2 linked regions of the Bombyx mori genome follow. The protein of the gene in region 2 binds, or shares a complex with, the protein of the main gene of each other region. Links are inferred from orthologs where the notes say so. Each region holds a gene or a part of one and is shown on either strand. Other genes may lie near its edges.

Region 1 (10,344 bases), on a different chromosome or scaffold from region 2:
GATAAATAGGTTAAATAAGAAGTAAAACTATAAAAATTGAAAATCGAATCATACATAAACCTAATAATATTAATAAAAAAAAGCATTATGTGGAAGGCATTGGGGAAGGCCTATGTCCAGCAGTGGGCAGATAAAGGCTGATGATGATGATGATGATGAAGTAAAATTTCGCGATTCGCGCACAAATGCGGATCTCTATCACCATATATTATACAAATATGTTTGAATATTTACCTCGTAATTTATAATCCTTTATCGTGCACGGGTATGCTGAGCTGGTCCATTAAATCGTCAACGCGAGCTTGTAGAGTCTCCACAATATCAGCTGATATGAACAAGTGTGTTTCATCCAGGTCTTGAAGAATAAACTTTCTACCAAGTGCAAGAGTTTCATCCAAGTGTAGTAAGAATTGTTTCATTGCCGGATCACTGAAAATGTCCAAGAAACGAGGTCTTAGTGCTGATGAAAAGAAGACCAGAATGCTTGAAATATTCCATCAAAGTCAAGATTTTTTTCAATTAAAGGTAACCTCATTAAATTACAACTTCATACATAGCTTTCGATGTCACTCTGCCCTAAACGATAAGATGCCAGATGTACTCATATTAAACAGTATTATTATAGCAATGTTTAAACCCAGCGGTTAGGTGCCAATTTTAGTAATGAACTTTGTAATTAAACATGTTTATAAATGACTTTCACAATAAATAATTAATGAAATCTGATAATACTGATGGGTGGCACATACATTGTGATGTCTGTTGACTCCAGTAACCTAATCACATACACCAGGGGTGGGTATTAAGCTCTTCCACTCAACTAAGCAATAAAATATATCTCTTATTTAGGATAAATGAGACAGTGTGAAATAGTGTCTGGAGTTTCTTACTTACTAGCAATGCAAGGTCGTTTTTTAATTAATTGAGAGCAAAGTAATAATAAATGAAGTTTTCACGAATGTTTACTCATCATTTGACTTACTTGGTAGGAGTCCAATTTCTTATTTGTTGGTGATCATGTTAGTTGAGTCACCAAATAGTCAATAATTAGTTCAAAAGAAAATGTTTAGACAGCACATAAAACAGAAGTGGCCATAACAAAATCTATTAAGATAATATTTTATATTTTAACTTTTACAGGAACTAGAAAAAATAGCACCAAAAGAAAAGGGTATTACAATGCAATCAGTTAAAGAAGTGATTCAGAGTCTAATTGATGATCACCTGGTTGATTCTGAAAAAATTGGGACTTCAGTGTACTTTTGGTCTTTCCCAAGGTACTATGTTAAACAACTAACTAAATAACTGGGAACAGAACAGTACATTATCATCTGGCGTCAAATCTGGCCTATTTCTGCCATTAAGCAGTTATTTATTTCGGTTTGAAGGGTGTTAGGTCATCATGCTGTTACAACTGAGACCTTAGAAATCTTGTCTCAAGGCAGGTGGCAGCATTTATGTTGTAATGTCTATGGGCTTCGGTTACCATGTAAAACCAGGTGGACTCATGTAAGCAGTAAAGCTGAATGAATAAATTTTTGCCCAATATGGGAATCGAATCCACAACTTTCGGCAGTCAGGGGTGCCAACTTTTGCACCACCGAGTCAGTCATTGACTAAGACTAGTTTTATTATTTTGAATAATAAAATTTACATGGACTTTACACACTGATGCTATGAGAAATTAAGAGTAAACAATTGTGCTTTTTAAAAATTTATGACTGCAAAATTATTTTTCAAATCAAGCAAGCTGTGGTAATGCCATGCAAACATTAAATAAATTACTTGTAGCAAAGCAAAAAGTACCAAGAAGAGGAAGCTACAAGAACTCCAGAATGAATTTGATGAATGTACGAAGAAGTTAAAGAAAACTGAGGAAGTCCTTATAGCAGAATCGGTCAGAATATTTATAGTTTTTTACTTAGTATAGTATAGTCTATAGAGTTATAATGAAACTTAATTCTATTCTATATTTATCAGAGACTGATATATTTATTAATTGACTTTAATATTAGAAAGGCAGAGAGATATCTGAAGAAAGAATAAAAATATTATCATCTTTAGAAGATCTTCAAAAGCAAGAGGCTTCATATAAGAGAGAATTACAAAAATACAGAGAATCTGATCCTGAATATATTGCACAACTGAGACGTGAAATAACTGTAAATCCAATTCTTATATTAATGTAGATGAGATGATGTCTTAAGGTCTATATTCCATTCAAGCTCATATTAGCGCCCCACTGTGAGCGCAATAGATAAGGCCAATGTCCCAAGTTTAAGGATTTAGTAATTGATGAATCAGTTCATGGCCTTTCTATAGTAGTATAGTATTTAGTGTTTCTGAAGTGTTAAGTAAGTTACTGAAGTTGATAGGTATCACAATGTGACTTCTGCTACCCACTTTAATATTGCACACATTAGATCAGTTACTATTATATTTCATAAAGGCCAAGTGAACTGATCAAACTGGAATGTGTATATTTTTTTTGGCAGATGTAGGCAGAATGACAAAACTGTATGAGCTTACAACTGGTAATGACTTTTAAGTCTAACATGTCTATTTCATGCTAGAAAATATATATTTTATTATTTGGTGGGTAATATTACTCAATATAACTTATCAGTATATTAATTAAGCATTGTATTCATTATTTAAAAATAAGGAAAACAAAGTACATTTAAAAAAATACTATGTTTTGATAAATAGCTTTCTGTAGGTGGTAGTATGTATAACCAAAGACATAACTATAATATTATCAAATAATAATATTGGATTAAAAATGTTTCATTTTGTAGGAATTGAAAACAGCCAGCAACAGATGGACAGAAAATGTATATATATTGAAATCTTATATAAAAAATAGTTTTCAAATAGATATTGATGCACTAGAAGAAAATTTTAACATACCTAAAGATATGGATTACATTGAATGAAGTTTTATATACAAGGCATTCCTCATAACCTAGGCCCAGAACATTAAATTTAAGTATGGGAAAAACCAAAGAAGAAATTCTTTGGCAAGTTAATATATTGTACGTAGTAAATTGATTAACTGATGTAATTTAAAATTCAAATCATTAAAGCACATTGTAACGATTCTAACTTTATCTGTAAGTTTGCATATGTAAAAGTAATATTTGTGAGAAATAAAAATAATAAATACCATTCAACGAGGACACCTTTCATTACATTCACCATGGTTCATTGTTTTAGAACTTGTCACTTTATGTAATAATTAATTGTAAATAAAGTATGTAGGTACCTATTTACTCCCTACTTTCAGTAGATACCATAGGTTATACAGAATACTATTACTATTATAAACTATTATTCATAGACTATACACTTAATATCTATTATTTATGGGTAAGTGTGGAAGGCTCATTACACTTTGCTAAATTTAGTCGGTGTAATAGCATTCAGTAAGTTAACCTGCTAAATTCAGTAGCAAGGATGGTTTCTGACTGACTAAATCATTTAGAAGCCTAATTAGAAACGCATATAAGAAGGTGTAATCGCATTTAGTTACTTAATGATTTCAGTCGTCCCATAGCTCTCCGTGCGTAAGGACGGCTTAGTTTGTTTTTTACTTCCGAATAAAAAGTATTTATTTCGCTCACCTTTATTAAATGTGCCAAACATTTATAAATAGCCCAACTTGTTTCAGGGATAATTTTTGTCAGAAGGGGTTGGGATATTATAAAGAACTAAAAATTAAATCTTGATACGAATTTCCTGTTGCAAGAAATCTTAATGTTACAACCAATCTTTCTTTTGGACTTATACTATCGTAGGATTAGATATGTAATAGTTATATAATATAGATATATAATAGACTATAGTAGTATCGTAGGATAGTATCCTGCTTTTGAAAAAAATTGTGCCACAAGGCTTAATATTTGGTCAAACGACCTCGAATCCATTCGTAGATCATTTCTGAAGTCTGCTGGTTCTAAATCATTCTTTTTTTTTTTTTTTTTTTTTTTTTTTTTTCCTGCCTAAGCTGAGAGCCTTGAGAGGCTATATCAGCGTAACCCTAACTTTTGTAGGTGAGCTCACGGGGCTCAAACCTGACGATGTTGCTAACACGAACCCTAGCAAGAGCCGTGCTTCGCAGAATCTACCACCGGATCGGAAACGCGACCCACTGAGAAGATCCGGCGAGAAACTCAGTGGGCTGTGTCTAAGAGTTAATTTACTCGTCGAGCCCTTCGTCGCAAGCGACGGGTTCGACGAGAACGGTGACCGGTGCTTGAAGTACCTAAAAGCACCGTTAGTGGATCGGGAGGATCCGAGATGACGTGTTTTGGGCGACGTCGACTGCTTTCCATTCTGTCCGCAGGATCGGGAATGTAGTTACCGGCGGCCACGATGAGAGGGTTCTCGTGTCGTGCCGCTTTATCGAAGTGGCGCATTGACGCCGACTGCATATACTTACTGGTGGACTCGAAGTCCAGGTCGTCATGGAGGTCGACGTTCCTGACGAACCACGGGGCTCCGACGGCTATCCTGCAAAAACGGGATTGAATGACTTGGAATGATTTCAAGTGTATGCGGGCCGCGTGAGCGAACACTACACTTGCATAGGTCATGACGGGGCGTATGCAAGTTTTGTAGAGTGTCACCTTATTTCTAAGGGACATTTTACTTCTCCTACATATCATCGGATAGATAAATCACTCATAATGTTCATATTTGCTAACTTTCCGCGCAGCAATATATATTTCTTCGCCCATACTCTTCATTTTTTTTTTTTTTCAATTGAGCCGACAGCGAGGTCTGCGCCTAGACCAATTTTTTGTTGTTTAGATAATACTGGGGCCATTCACACACACACGACACGTCCTACTTCGTCGCGTTTATACTGACAATTGATTCAGTAACTGAAGTTAAGAACAGTGTAATCAGAAGCTTCCAACTTGCTTCTAAATTTGCTTTTGAATTCAGTCGACTAAATTTAGCCAAGTGTAATAAGCCTTTAAGGCGTAAGTGTAAGCTTTTTTTTTAAGGGATTTTATGACCTGGTAACTAAGACCTTTAAGTCATGTCTTATTTTAATATAAATGCTTATTTGAGTCGACTATTATCAAAGCCGGCAATCTGACTTTTGGACAATTATTGGTAAATCAGAAAAACGAATTATTGACTTTGTATTCCATTGGCAGTCACAAAACTCTTCGGAACGACATCTTAGATAAATAACAGGTTAACTATTAACCTTTATTTAATGCAGGTTTTGAACCGTATTCTTTGAAGGAGACGATTATATTCAACTCAATCTGTATTGACATATCAATAACATTTTTTTGTCCAAATGCACAGATTGCCACCTTTGATAATAGACGACTCATTTGATGAAAAATTATAATATGGAGTGAAATGAAGATGATTAATTTAAGACATTAATCAACTGGGATGAAATTAAATGAAAAAAATGTGTGCGTGTACTAGTGTACACACGTAAGAAGTGAAACTTGTTTATGGCCTTATTTTTCGAAAAATGATCTACATGCAACTTTCTAGAAATTGGTTAAATAAAGTTAAATTAGATAAAGTTTAAACAAAAGGATTTTATTATCATAGACATGAATACAAAAAAGTTAAATTAGATAAAGTTTAAACAAAAGGATTTTATTATCATAGACATGAATACAAAACAGATGGCGCGTAACGGAAAAAAGTGACGCGTAACCGAAAAATGTGACGGTAAATTTTTTTCCAACGCCGATAAGGAAGTTTCACTTCAATAACGACATTGCGTAGGAATTGGGATGTAGTCCGGGAAGTTGTGACACGCCACAACAAGCAGATCGTAGTGAGCTTTTTGTCTTGAGAAAGACAGCTAGTGAAGTTTTCGTTCGCAAAAACAAATCAAACACGAATTGTGCGTTTTCGACTCAAGGTCGCGACTACAGCGACAACGTTTTGAGAAAAATAAGGTCGCAATGACAGCGACAATTTTTCGAAACAGCACGTCCGTACTTGATGGCGTTGCGAGCGGAATTGAATGAGATCCACCGGATCCACTCTTGGTGCTGTTAGGCTCTTTAAGCACCGTTCCCAGTCCTCGTTTAACTCGTCGATTAAAATGAAGAGTTCGCTGAGCGAACTAACCCATAGACACAACCCACTGAGTTTCTCGCCGGATCTTCTTAGTGTGTCGCGATTTCAATCGGTGGTAGATTCTGCGAAGCATTACACTTGCTAAGACTAGTGTTAGCAAATTCTCTCAGATTGAAGCCATGTGCCTACCCATTCGTGCGTCACTTGAAGAGGTAGCTCCTTAAGTTATTAGTGAATAGAACAAAATCACGTAATAACTTATGCTGTATTTTTTAAAGTTTCAAATAAGAACTTGCAGTGATTGATAGGGGTTGATTTTTAGACTTTGTCGATCCCCACATTCAGATGTCGTTTATGTCCACCACTTTGTCCACCTAGATTCCGGTAACCAATTAAACAAGTAGCTCTATGATGTCGTTCAACCACCTATGGATTAAAAAAACAAATGCCGGAGAAAAAAAGAAAAAAACAGAAAAGTATTGTCCAGCGAATTAGCACCATTTCTCTTTCTCCGTGTAAGCGTTCTCATAAATATTTAAAGGTTGATAAACCACGAGTTTGCGTTTAATTTGGTTTTTTATATATTTTATAATATATTGTTTCCATTTTAATAATTTCAAATCTTCAGTTTTTCCCAGGACATAAGTATAATAAATAATAATTTCTGATAAAAACAAAAAACAAATCTGTTAGAACAATTTTTATTAAAAAAATACAAATTCATACGTTGTACATACGTTAAATTAATTTACAACTATGAGTAGCACCAGATTATTTACTTAATCTTACACCTATAGTCGACTATTTATATGTATATACTAGTGGTCCCCCGGTAGTCGAAATTCGACTATAATTAATTGAAATGTTAAGTTTGTACACTAATAAACTTCTTTATTCACATAGTTCGCCCAGACTATATTCAAGACAAACAATATTGCTCTATTCACAATTTGAGCACAGTGTGCTTAGTGCGAGTTTTTTAACGTTCTCGATAGCTAGCTCAAATTTGTATGGAACTAGATGATGACCGAGCTTTGCTCGTTTTTTTTTTTTTTGATAACTCCATCTTGTTTTGTCTTTAAGGCGGTTAGTTGCCCTCAATTAAGAAAAATAGTATTATTATTCGCCAATAGATGTCGGGAAGAGTTGATTATTGAAAACACGAATAAAACAGCATTTTCTGAAAATAAATCGTAGTTAGATCGATTTATCGCCCCCGAAATCGAAATCGAACCGAACCGAAGGTATAAGAAAATAATTAAGATAGGTTCGTTTGCCTACGTTTGCCGCTAGGGGCGCCATTCCAACTGCATACAAAATTGGGTTAACTTTTACGCTATGTATCGAGAAGGATAAAAAACTCGCCCTAAGCACACAGACTGAAAAGTTTGACAATAAACAAATAGTATGCATGCGTATGTGAAGTATCAAATATGTTAGTGTGTGTAATGTCTTTTTTTTCTTGATTTAATGTATCTATTTTTATGCATATTTTAAAAAAAATATTAACACTGCACTCCTCTATATTCTCTATGTGGGAAATTTCATACTCCTCCATCCGTGCCATTTTCGTAAAAAGGGGTACAAAGTTGTTGCTTCACGTATTAATAGATTAATCATAATAATATATAGGTACTATCGAATTATAAAAATTAATACGTACAAATTGGCTTGTATTTTGGTACCTATATTTTTTTGGTGGTATTTTTACGAGTGGTAGGACCTCTTGTGAGTCCGCGCGGGTGAGTACCACCACCCTGCCTATTTCTGCCGTGAAGCAGTAATGCGTTTCGGTTTGAAGGGTGGGGCAGCCGTTGTAACTATACTTGAGACCTTAGAACTTATATCTCAAGGTGGGTGGCGCATTTACGTTGTGGATGTCTATGGGCTCCAGTAACCACTTGACACCAGGTGGGCTGTGAGCTCGTCCACCCATCTAAGCAATAAAAAAAAAACCTAATTGGTTTGAATTAATCCACTGATGCTTGCAGTGGTTTATTTATCTCGGGCGACCTATGGTTGATGTCGGTACAATAATTTTATTCTTACTCTTAAGAGATCGAAAGAGCGGAGGGAGAAGCTTGTCCGCAGTTTGCATGGTATGAAAAGTATGGGCACTGTTCAGTTTATATACTTGTTATTGAATATACAGTAAGTACTGCTTATTCGCGCTTCCTTCATTCTCGTTTTCACTATTCGCGGATATACAATAAATAAACAATCTTATTGTTTTAATTTGAGTTTGTTATAATAATATTGTAATTAATTTATATAAGAGTAATTATTTCTAATTCATAAACATTTTTTGTTTTTATGTGTTATTTTACAGTACCTATCTTACAATTTGGTTACATACAATACATATAATAATACTAGCTGACCCGGCAGAGTTCGTAGTGCCTCAATCGATAAACAAAAGACCTAAACTTTAATTTTTTTTTTTTTTTTTTTTTTTTTTTTTTTTTTTTTTTTTTTTTTTTTTTTTTTTTTTTTTTTTTTTTTTTTATTGCCTTTGTAGGCAGACGGGCATGCGGCCCACCTGATGGTGAGTGGTTACCGTCGCCCATGGACTTCAGCAATGCCAGGGGCAGAGCCAAGCCGCTGCCTACCGCTTAATACTCTCCATAAGCCTCGTTTGAAGAAGGACATGTCATAGCGCTCGGGAAACACCGTGGAGGGGAGCTCATTCCATAGCCGGATGGTACGTGGCAAAAAAGATCTCTGGAAACGCACTGTGGATGACCGCAGTGGCTCCAGGTAGTATGGATGAACTCTACTCCGGTGGCGGGCGGTGCGATGGTAAAAACGAGATGCTGGTATCATCTCGAACAATTCCTCAGAGCACTCCCCATGGAACATACGGTACAAAATACAGAGGGAACCGAAGTCCCTCCGCAGACCCAGAGGCTCCAAACGATCCGAGAGAATGGGATTATCAACAATCCGAACGGCCCTCCTCTGTATGGAGTCAAATGGAAGAAGCTGGTATTTGGGAGCCCCGGCCCAGAGATGGGAGCAGTACTCCACGCGAGGCCGGACTTGTGCTTTATAAAGCAAAAGTCTTTGTCCAGGCGTGAAGTACCGCTTCGCTCTGTTGAGGACTCCCAGCATTTTGGACGCCAACTTGGCTTTGCCTTCCAAATGACTCCGAAACTGGACATCGCTCGAAATGTCGACCCCAAGTATCCCGATACTCTCGGAAGGTTGCAGGGATACTCCTTGGAATTGCGGCGCCATGACAAAGGGGTCCTTCTTCGCAGTGAACGCGCAAACCTGTGTCTTCAACGGGTTGAATTGAACTAAGTTCGATTCACCCCATTTGGAGACTCGCCCCAGAGAGTTCTCCACTTCAGACACAAGTTTTGATCGTCTCTCTTGCACCACGCTCCGAGAGAGACTCTGATGGCCGATATATCGCGCATCCCCCGTGCTATCATCTGCATAGCAATGCATGCCATCAATAGACAGCATGTCATTGATATACAGGATGAAAAGCGTGGGGGAGAGCACCGAACCTTGTGGAACGCCAGCGTTAATGGTCATGGTATCAGAACAGTCACCGTCTACAACGACCGTGATGCTCCGCCCATCCAAAAAGCTAGCGATCCACTTGCAGAGACCCTCGGGGATTCCGTAAGATGGTAACTTCGATAGAAGTGCCCTATGCCAGACCCTGTCGAAGGCCTTCGCGATATCAAGGCTCACAGCAAGAGCCTCGCCCTTGCTCTCCAAGGCTTCAGCCCACCTGTGAGTAAGGTATACAAGAAGATCGCCAGCTGAGCGACCGTGACGGAAACCGTACTGTCGGTCACTGATCAGCTGGCGATCTTCAAGATACTTCAGGAGTTGTGTATTTATAATTCGCTCCATCACCTTGGAAAGCAAGGAAGTTATCGCGATAGGCCTGTAGCTCGATGGGTCCGACCGGTCACCCTTCTTGGGGATAGGGTGGACGTGGGCGGTCTTCCATGAAGACGGAACCCTGTTAGTGCAATAAGAGAGGCGATACAAACGCGTTAGCGCAGGTGTCAGCTCAGGGGCGCACGTTTTCAAAACCACTGCGGGGATGCCGTCTGGCCCACTCGATTTATGGACGTCCAGGAGTCTGAGCTCCCGCCTGACTGCACACTGTGTGAAGCAGATTTCCGGCAGGGAGCTATCACACCGGGGGATGTTCGGTGGTGTGGCACCCCCGTCGTCCACAGTCGAGTTCGAGGCGAAGAGTTTGACCAGAAGGTCAGCCTTCTCTTTCGCGCTGTGGGCCAGATTGTCATCGGA
Region 2 (10,344 bases):
TTCTTTTAATATTGAATTGTCATCGGTCCTTAATAAGTACACCAAATTTCGAGTTAATCCGACGTTTTGAAGGGGGTCAAAATCATGTTCAAAGATTCCGTTACATACTAACGTACATACGTCTGAAACAAATTAAAGCGTATTAAAAATATTTCTGTTTTAGATGGCAGCCAACGCAAGCGCTTTAGTAAGGTTAGCAGTGACGATCCTCGCTTGCATCTTGTTACTGCGGCTCACTCGTCGGACACTCGTCATGATTTCTGGCATTGGAACTTCTGTCTGTACTCTGGCGTTGGCCGCCCTACTCGCGCAAGGCCCCGGTACAGGCATCGCGCCGCCAGTCCTGATCCTCGCATACGTTGGCTTCAATACCTTAGGATTCTTTGTACTGCCGGGGCTTATGATAGGCGAATTACTGCCCACCAAAGTCCGTGGGCTCTGCGGAGGCTATATTTTCTGTTTCTTTAATTCATTCCTTTTTGGTTTTACCAAACTTTACCCTGCGATGATGAAGAATATAGGAATAGCGGCTGTCTTTAGTTTCTTCGGTATTTCCGCTGCTCTTGCCACAATTCTACTTTTCCTTTTATTACCAGAGACGAAAGGGAAATCTCTTTTACAAATAGAACAGTATTATCAAAAGCCGAATATATTGTGGCTGTCTCGTAAAAAAACAACCGGTAGTCAAAACGTTTGAGCCATTGTTTATTAGTTAAATAAACTGTGATTGACATATGTTACTTGACATATTATTGTAGGTACTTAAAAATATATATTTGTTGTGATAAACATAACCGCAGTGATATGTCATTAACTTACATAAATATATAAATCGTGGCATATGTTTATTTGCCGCCGTGACCTTAAAGAATATTATATGGTCTTCTCGCATTAAAACTGTATAATAATCTCAAAACTTACTAATTTTAGAGGAGAGTGTTTAAAAGGTTTAAAATGTGATATTTTTAATATTAATCATCTTTGTAACATTTATTTTTTATTTTTTACCAGTTACATTATCTGTCTTTTAAAGTAAGATAAAATTATACATTAATTTTTTGAATAGTAGTCAAAACATAGGTAAACTAAAAAAAACTAAAACTAAACTACGTTCTATTGACAGTTTTTATGAGAAAAATACTGGTGATACCAAATGATTCCGCATATTAATTCAATTTCGAATATTTTTGGAAATGTGTAGTGCACTTTTAATGCGAAAAGACGATGTTAAATCCTATAATGTGCCTTGTTAATTAAATTAATTAATATTTTGACGTAAATATATATCGAGTGTATTACGAAATACATGGTTTAGGGAAATTAAAACCGCAAGCTGATTTGCGTAATTTTCAATTGTAGGGCATGTTGAAAGGCCACAAGGGCCAGAACCACAGTCCTATTTCTGCAAAGGAATTGTTAAATTAATCCTATGCAATAACGACTTCGACCTTGTGTCTCTAGTCTGAAGGTGAACAACGGAATTCAGATTATGATCTCTATGCGCTTTATAAAAGGCGTGACCTTATCACCCTATTTGACCTAAAAATAAGTTGACAAACAACATTTGAAGTTCCAGTAAAAACTTACACTAGATAAGAGAGCTTATCAGCAAATCTGTGGCAAAGAAATACCTACAACATTATTTGGGAATAGCAAAGTATACATTTTTAGATATTTGTGTGTTGATATATACATTTGCATCTAAAGCTTGAGATAACTTATCAGCGAAACTTATATTGCATAACGCACATAAATGATGGAACATAAAACGTTTAAATTCATAGAAATAAGATTATGATCTTACATCATTATATATTATGTCCATGATATATTAACTATATATTTTGTGATATCTCTACGATTTTACATATGAATGGAAAAAAATATGTTGCTAAACTTATAGGTACGTGTGTAACACCAAAAATATAGTAAAATATATAATTTTGTATGTAAAGGCATTTAAAGACGTGTATCTGTGATTAAATCAGTAACGTTGTCCTACTGTATTATGTACCGAAGCACAACTTTATACTGTAAGTAGTATTATTGACAATGAATCTTCTATGACACAAGTTATTCGAATGTTACAAAGATTTGAATAAAAGTATTAAATTTACCATGCATATTTTTTATTTTCACAACTTACGAGAAATTTACCTCCATCAAATTTTGATTTATATAATTTTCAATATTTTTTTTGTTGCTTAGGTGAATGGTCGAGCTCACAGCCCACCTGGTGATAAGTGGTTACTGGAACCCATAGACATCTACAACGTAAATGCGCCACGCACCTTGAGATAAGTTCTAAGGTCTCAATGTAGTTACAACGGCTGCCCCACCCTTCAAACCGAAACGCATTACTGCTTCACGGCTGAAATAGACAGGGAGGTGGTACCTACCCGTGCGGACTCACAAGAGGTCCTACCACCAGTAAAAATACTATTTATAGTACTATTTATAGAAATTCTCAACAACAGATACATGATGTCAAATTTAAATACATATCACAATAAAATTACTATCCGTGTTTATGTCTACGATAACATTCAATATGAACTAATGTTTAGTTATCTTATCAATCAAAGGTTAAGGACTCAAGTATGATATCAACCCACTTAAATCTAGCGACGTAAAACTTATCGTAAAATGGTACTATTATTTTGCGTCAGTGCCCCTTACTGTTGGCTCTTTGTCGCGGCCAGCTCTGACTGATGTTGGCGTTAAATTATTATAAAAATTTGAAATCTCTCATTTAGTCTGTTAGGCCTGCTCAGCGCGGAAATACTAGGAGACAAGAAGCTCCCATATTGTCTTGGCACATGTATTCTATGGCAAGTATAGTAGTGAGAGATTAGTTAGTTTTCCGGGAATTATGGATGCGCCGGCACAAGAGGTGTAACGTAGATTAAGACATATGCAGAGGTAGATAGCGGAATGACTGAGCCTCTTATACTGCCGATGTCCACGAGCGGAAATAAGCTACACGCTATCAGTTGTGCCATATACATCGAGCGCTACAAAAATAGATCAGCTCGGACTTCTACTGAACATAGTTCAAATTTTGGACAACATGGCGAAATGTAAAGACCATTGCTAATACAAACAAATATCGCAACAATTTACTGGTGGTAGGACCTCTTGTGTGTCCGCGCGGGTAGGTACCACCACCCTGCCTATTTCTGCCGTAAAGCAGTAATGCGTTTCGGTTTGAAGGGTGGGGCAGCCGTTGTAACTATACTGAGATCTTAGAACTTATATTTCAAAGTGGGTGGCGCATTTACGTTGTAGATGTCTATAGGCTCCAGTAGTACCTAAATAAATAAAGATCACAAGTTTTACTCGCAGCTTCGCGATGTCAAGGAAAAGCGTTTTTTTTTTCTAGTCTCACGTCATTTTTCTAAAGATAATAAAACAGTTTCCCGTGGGAATGACATATATTTTCAGGATAAAAATTGGCACTGCTGATCTAAAACTATCCTTTTATGACAATCCGTTGCTTCGTTTGGACGTGAAACGACACTTTGACGTTCATAATATTACATCGATATATTACCACATGGTAATAATATGTGGTAATATATCCATGTAATATTAGTTTAATATGAATTATTCTAAGGCGAAGGGAACGAACGTTGACACTTGTCTCCTTAGTCTTCCACCACTTTCCTCTATTTTTCTTACCAAATAATATTCAATTGTTAGCGTTTATTGAGCTCGTTTCATGCGAAACAAACGCCGACTGAACGACGCACCGGTGAATGAGTTGATATTAATTTGACCAACGCGATCTCCTCCCGATATGCGATTACATATTTCCGCACAATACACGTAATCAATCGCAAAAAAAAAAGGTGCGATGTGAAAGAAGTGAAACTTCTGCGTACTATTGTTCTTCATTTTTCATCCTTAAATCAAATTTCTCTTGTATAAGAGAATGCTGTGTATAAGAGAAACGACCTAGCTCGCTTTGTCATTTCCCTCTCCAGGGTCGAGTGGTTCGCGAGACGGTTTCTCTATTTTCTCAGTCTCACTCGTCCTAAATTGTATCTTTTCTCTCTAAGCGTAACGAATCTGTCGCGAGTTAAATTTTACTCTCAACGCGCCTAAAGAAGTTTCACTTCAAAAAAGTCCCTTTGCGATGGTTATTATATAATTGCACGAAAAATAATACAACAAGTGTTCATTCATTTATTCATTTATTAATTCATTTATTACGATGAGGTCGTGCTTGGTAGCCGCTGGTACAAATGAGGTCTGGTGGCGCAGCCAGGACACACGTGCAGCGTGGCCGTCACCGCGCCCTCGCACTCCCAGCAGTAGTACTCTTTACATCGGGGACAACGATGTATCTACAAACAAAAATTTATATATTCAAAAATCGACTCTATTGCTCTTAGAATAACTTCTACACACACACACGCAAGTTTTCGTCGTTAATGAATGCTCGGTATGAAAATTTTATTTTAGAAATATTAATACAATTACGTTAAAACGAAACATGTAGACTATTTACAGGAAAGGCAGATAAAAAATGTGAGACATGTAACATACCTTCTTGTCTATATCGGTGAAGGTTCTTAAGCATCCAAAACAATACTGCGCCTGGCCATCATTATCTAATTCTTCATAAGGTTCCACTGGAAACAGGTGATGGTATGATCTACAATAAGATTAGAAATTATGAAAATCGATTTACAATTACAAACACGAATAAAATTAAACCTGCAAAAAATTATAAGTTTACTATGTAAATCTGCTGCAGAGCATTTTCAAATTCAAAACTAGAATATACTTGGATGTCCTCCGGTCAGTATATCGGTGTTCAAACCACCCGGTAAGGGAAATATAGGGGGAGAAACTATAGGTCAACCATTTATTTTAGGGCCTTTTTTTTCTACGTATGCTGAAGGCCTTGAGAGACTATTTCAGCTTCACCCTGACGTGTAGGTGAGATCACGGAGCTCAAACCGGAAGTATTGCTAACACTGGCCTTAGCAATAACAGTGATTCGCATAATCTACCACCGGATCGGAAACGCGACCCACTGAGAAGATCCGGCGAGAAACTCAGTGGGCTGTGTCTGAAGGTTAATTTACCGGTGACCGGGCAGGCCCATGATCTTCTGTGCTCATCTACAGCAATATAAGACTTTATCTCGTAAAACAAATATCGTTTGAAGAAAGGGGTCGTTTGACAGATGTACCTTGCAAGATGTGGTGCTGATGCGAGTGTCAGGCCGCAGGTGCGACACTGAGCTGGCAACGAACAATACTTGGAGCGGCACTGCGGACACAGGTGACCCTCGCCGCCTATACCTTCGCCTTCCTCCAAATGACTGAACAAAAATAAGAGTTTAAAAAAAATAAAAACGATGCGCGTGCAACTTGGTGCACGTGAATGAAGTGAAGCTTCTTATTCCATGAGTAATATTGTGTTTTTTTTTCATTTCTCATCCTTAAATCAGATTGCTCTTGTAATAAGGAATGCTGTGTATAAGAGATGCGACATCTTCATCATTACATATATAGGTAAGGATATACGTATATAGGTATTTTTTTTAAATACTTCATTAAAATATTGGACGCTACTCGTTGGTAACGCCCTGGCTGTAGCAGGTATACAACGCGCAAGCGTTCGAGTGCCACGGATTCACTCTCGCTCTGTCTCTTTCTATTCCATGGTAGCGTTAAAAGTTTAACGCAAACTTGTTGGAAGTCGCATTAGAAGTTTCACTTCAAAACGTAAAGGAATAACACCGTGTAATAAAAATCAAACCCGCAAAATTATAATTTGCGTAATTACTGATGGTAGGACCTCTTGTGGGTTCGCACGGGTAGGTCCCACCACGCTGCCTATTTCTGCCGTGAAGCAGTAATGCGTTTCGGTTTCAAGGGTGGGGCAGCCGTTGTAACTACACTGAGACCTTAAAGCTCATATCTCAAGGTGGGTAGCGGCATTTACGTTGTAAATGACTATGGACTCCGGTAACCACTTAACACCAGGTGGGCTGTGAGCCACACATCTATAAAAAAAATAATAATAATAGTAATAATAAGTCCCTAAAAGCCTCTCAAAACATCTCGAGAGGCTTGGTCTCAACGAAAAGTCGGTGGTGGCCCAAATGCAAAAAGCAGTCTTGCTCGACAATGCCCGGATAGTTTGCCGGTTTCTCTCCCAATAGTCCCTAACGCTCCGGCCAATTGTTGCCCACCTCGCCGGTGTGTCTTGCCGTCTTCCCAGGCGAGGCAGTGTTTAATACACATAATAATAATAACAATAACACTCATTCCTTACCATCTTCACCATAGCCTTAAATTAATCACTCTCAAACAAAATCTCTAATTAACCCTCCAAAAAGCCGCTATTTTAAACACCTGCCGAATCGTGAGGAAGTTTATGCAGGTTGACGATAACACACCAACATTAACATCAAGCAATTAGCACTTGGCTTACGCCCGTGCTACCATGAAATTACCGGCTCCGCCGAGAAAAGTGGTCGATAAAAATAATAACACTACAGACAAACGCATTTCATGAAAGTTTAGATTTACGCTAAGCGTTTCTTTCGTTCTTTCTCAAGTTTTAAAATTTAAGCAAGACACGGAACTCACCACATACAAACAGTAATAGGTGGATCGACATTAGCCCCTGGGTCGGCTTGTTCCTCGAGCGGCGTTGAATGCGGGAAGCCCATCTTCACCAGGCCCGCGTCCAACGAGCGGGCGCGGGGCGGCGGCGACGTGTACTCTAGTAGCAGTGACTGGTAGTGACAATCGTCTAATACCACCTAAAAACATATTATGTACATCGTTAGCAAATTGGCTTACTAACAAAAAAAAAATTAAGAAGTAAATAAAAGAACTATGTATGTACTTTTGTTTTTAAACCTGAGTTTAACAGTCATGCTTTAATACCTTTTATATTGTACACTTTTCCCCTCTTATGCATCGTATTTCTCTCTGCTAATGGTTTGCTGGAAGAAAACTCATGAATGAGTTAAGCTCGCCTTTGTAGGTACATAGTATTTAGACATTCTTTTTAATCTGTTTTTATTGTATTTTCTCTTTTGTGTACAATAAGTATAAATAAAATAAATAAATACTTATTAACAAAAATATACATTTATTATTTTAAGAAAAAATATTTTTTTTTTATATTATGTACATACATAATTATTTTAGAAAAATGGTAAATAAAATATTGAGGTTATTCAATTGGTCTCGCATAATACTCTTCTACTGGAATCTCGATAAACGCACCTCCACATGCACGTACACAGAACAACAACCGCAGTCTCACAGAAAGAAATAAAGAGAAAGAGTAAAGTAGCATGGAGGACTTTTTTTCTTGCGTGATAATTTCTACAAGGCATATTCTATCACAACATCAATAACAAATTCCGTAACTATAACATTTTATATCAAATAGTGGGACAGAAAAAGAGTCCTTAGCGGCTAGTTCAAAAATAAAAGCAGTCTTAAATAAGCTCTTTTTAATAACAATGCTTACATACAAAAGCGAAACTGCGAAATTATCAATAGAGAATAGCTTACACCATAATCTCCATTAGTGTCTTGACACATTTTTTTGCAAATCCGCACTTCAGCAGCTAGACCAATAACAGAACATCTAATTCCATCTGTTTTTAGTGTCTACAAAAAGATAAAAATAATTAAATATCTAATCTAATAAATAAATATTATCTCACAGTATAGTTTATTTTAGGTTATTGAAACAAACAAAACTTTCATTGAAATACCAAGTTTTGGATTTAAAATGCTAACACAACATTATTAGTATTACTTGCCATATAAAGTGGAGAAGTCTGTCTCAATTGATCGTCAATGGCGCAGGTCACCAGTGGACATCAGCAATGCAAAGAACTTGTTAAAGCTAAACAAAAACTGAGCTTTATGGAGTGTCGTGGAACCATGTTAAATATCTTTACGGATTTCTATTTTAACAAATCTGTGGTGATCAACAAAAGTAAAATAAGGCATTTCAATAATCAAAACTGTCTTACTTCTATGGTAGTGTTTATATCACTTGGATCGCAAGTTGTAAGGGATGCGAAAAGCACTAGTAATTCTCTTGACGCGTGTCCAGGCAGAGGCCTTAGGATTCGCCCAGCCAGCTCTAGCGTATTTTGTAATGATGGCTCTCCAGTCAGCGGAGTGTTGGATAAACTGTTTAGAGAACTTTTTGTTTTATTTTTTCAAATAACTAAAAGCTTTTGTTTATATGACATATTTAATTGATTTTTCTATCATTTTTCGATAAAACTATTAATGTCAAGTTAATAAAAGTAATATATTGAAATTAATAAATACAACAATAATTTAATACTTGCCCTTGTATGGCTTTAATGTGTTTCCGGACATTTCCAGATAGGTCAGTTATTTTCTCAGCTCTCTTATTCTTCATTGCTATTAAACCAAGCTGACTGAGAGGATTCTGGTCAAAAAACTCTTCAACAAATTTCTCGAGCAACTAGAAATATACACAGATTAAACTTATTAAATAAAATTGTATTTATAGCTTCATTAGAACATGATTTCTTCTCACTAATGGGGGTACACCCTACGTCTCGCAAACATTTGTGACCATGGAGCTGTTATATCATGGCCTATGCTGTCTATCTGTGAAGAATATTAACTATGCCCATGATGAAGTTCAAACACTGTTAAATATTATTATAGTATTTACAAATTGCATGCAAAAAAAATCAGCCAGCTGACAAAACAAAGGCATAGATGGTATACAAGTAATTATAGTTATATAGATATAGAAATATGACAGAGAAACAAAATCAATTGGTTAAACACTGAAGGACTGCTTTGTAACTTTTCTGAGTAAACTACTCCAGTTGTCCGTATTGCAAAAAAGAATGGAGACATTCATCTCTATTGAAATGAACTGAATACAATTAATCAAGCTACAGAGTTAGCCAATGGCCACTGCATATGAAGTGTTAGCCATGATATCTGGATGTCAACTTCCAACCTTTATGCTTCTACTCAAATGGTAGTTACAATACAAAGACACCAGGTATATCTAATAAACTTTAAACTACTTAATAGCATACAGCTCAGCCTCTAGCAGTTTATGAAGGTAAAAGATATTTCTTTACCTTCAATGTGCACAGAAACCGTGAAGGTTTCAAATCTTGGGAGCTCATAGCCTCAGAACAATCTATGGCTAAAAGTAAATGCCTCATCATGCCAAGTCTGACTGGACCTTTACGAGGAGCAGCTGCTTTACGTGCTGCTTTCTGGGCAAATTCAGCCACCAGGCTTTCAACCAACCCATCTTCATCTTCTTTAATAGCCTCCCTACACATAAATATTTAATTTATGATTCAATAGACACATAACATATATGTTAAAAACTGTAAAACTAAAGAGTAATCAGAGTAAATTAAAGTATTATGAAGAATTTTCAAAAACAAACTTGTAATTACACTTTATTTTTATAACATATATTCATTATTTTTTAGAATATGGTGAAATCATAAGGTTAAAGTTAAAGATTTCCAGTAATTTGCTGTGTGTAGGCCTCATTGAATTTGTAATGGTGGCCCAAGATGATCGCTCGTCGTGTTTGTTAATATCTGAACAGGTTTTATTTAGTTTATCTGTAGTTTAGCAAAATAAAAAATAGGCTCTCTGTATAACTGTCATTACTGGTGGTAGGACCTCTTGAGAGTCCGCGCGGGTAGGTACCACCAACCTGCTTATTTCTGCCGTGAAGCAGTAATGCGTTTCGGCTTGAAGGGTGGGGCAGCCTAACTATACCTGAAATCTTAGAAGTTATGTCTCAAGGTGGTTGGCGCATTTACGTCGATATCTATGGGCTCCAGTAACCACTTAACATCAGATGGGCTGTGAGCTCGTCCACCCATCTAAGCAATAAAAAAAACTTAATAATAATAGACTACTTTGCAATCGCATTTGCCTGTTACCACATTACAGTATCTATCTATCATCAGCCCGCAGACGGCGACTGCTAGATATAAGCTAAGACCCGCCAAAACGACCAGTCCTGCACTGCTAAGATTTTGCAGATTCCAGCCACATTCAACAATACAGACAATAGTATGTTCTATTCAATAGTATGCATGAAAGACATTAACGAGTCTTTCAGGAAAAGGTAAAAAAATAATTTAAATTGATTCATTAACGTTAACTGTTTCTATATTTGATTTTTAATAAAATGGAAGTTCGCTTTGAAAGGTTAGCCTTGTGTATTTACAAACAAATAAACGTAAATAAATAAACATAATAACAATACAACTATAAATTTTCTAACCAAGTTTTTTCATAACCAGTTTCCCATCGATACTCT

Evidence for each region.
Region 1: general transcription factor IIH subunit 2 (region 2) and general transcription factor IIH subunit 5 share a complex: the UniProt entries of both Caenorhabditis elegans proteins name them as parts of the 7-subunit TFIIH core complex. The link is inferred for Bombyx mori from reciprocal best matches to the Caenorhabditis elegans genes gtf-2H2C and gtf-2H5.

The regions. Positions count from the first base shown.
Region 1 is NC_085109.1:11,973,847-11,984,190, reverse strand, and holds the start of general transcription factor IIH subunit 5, read right to left. Parts: upstream 3,329-10,344; 5' UTR 3,202-3,328; coding exon 3,167-3,201; exon of another isoform or gene 2,937-3,166; coding exon of another isoform or gene 2,799-2,936; intron 2,163-2,798; coding exon of another isoform or gene 2,016-2,162; intron 1,898-2,015; coding exon of another isoform or gene 1,792-1,897; intron 1,278-1,791; coding exon of another isoform or gene 1,141-1,277; intron 526-1,140; coding exon of another isoform or gene 436-525; exon of another isoform or gene 430-435; coding exon 243-429; 3' UTR 235-242; intron 1-234. Other genes in the region: meiotic nuclear division protein 1 homolog, read left to right, coding at 436-525, 1,141-1,277, 1,792-1,897, 2,016-2,162, 2,799-2,936. UniProt on the Caenorhabditis elegans protein: Component of the general transcription and DNA repair factor IIH (TFIIH) core complex, which is involved in general and transcription-coupled nucleotide excision repair (NER) of damaged DNA and in RNA transcription by RNA polymerase II.
Region 2 is NC_085114.1:7,019,891-7,030,234, forward strand, and holds the end of general transcription factor IIH subunit 2, read right to left. Parts: coding exon 10,309-10,344; intron 9,333-10,308; coding exon 9,131-9,332; intron 8,491-9,130; coding exon 8,351-8,490; intron 8,187-8,350; coding exon 8,024-8,186; intron 7,653-8,023; coding exon 7,554-7,652; intron 6,788-7,553; coding exon 6,612-6,787; intron 5,336-6,611; coding exon 5,204-5,335; intron 4,661-5,203; coding exon 4,552-4,660; intron 4,350-4,551; coding exon 4,212-4,349; 3' UTR 4,180-4,211; downstream 1-4,179. Other genes in the region: facilitated trehalose transporter Tret1, read left to right, coding at 164-697. UniProt on the Caenorhabditis elegans protein: Component of the general transcription and DNA repair factor IIH (TFIIH) core complex, which is involved in general and transcription-coupled nucleotide excision repair (NER) of damaged DNA and, when complexed to CAK, in RNA transcription by RNA polymerase II.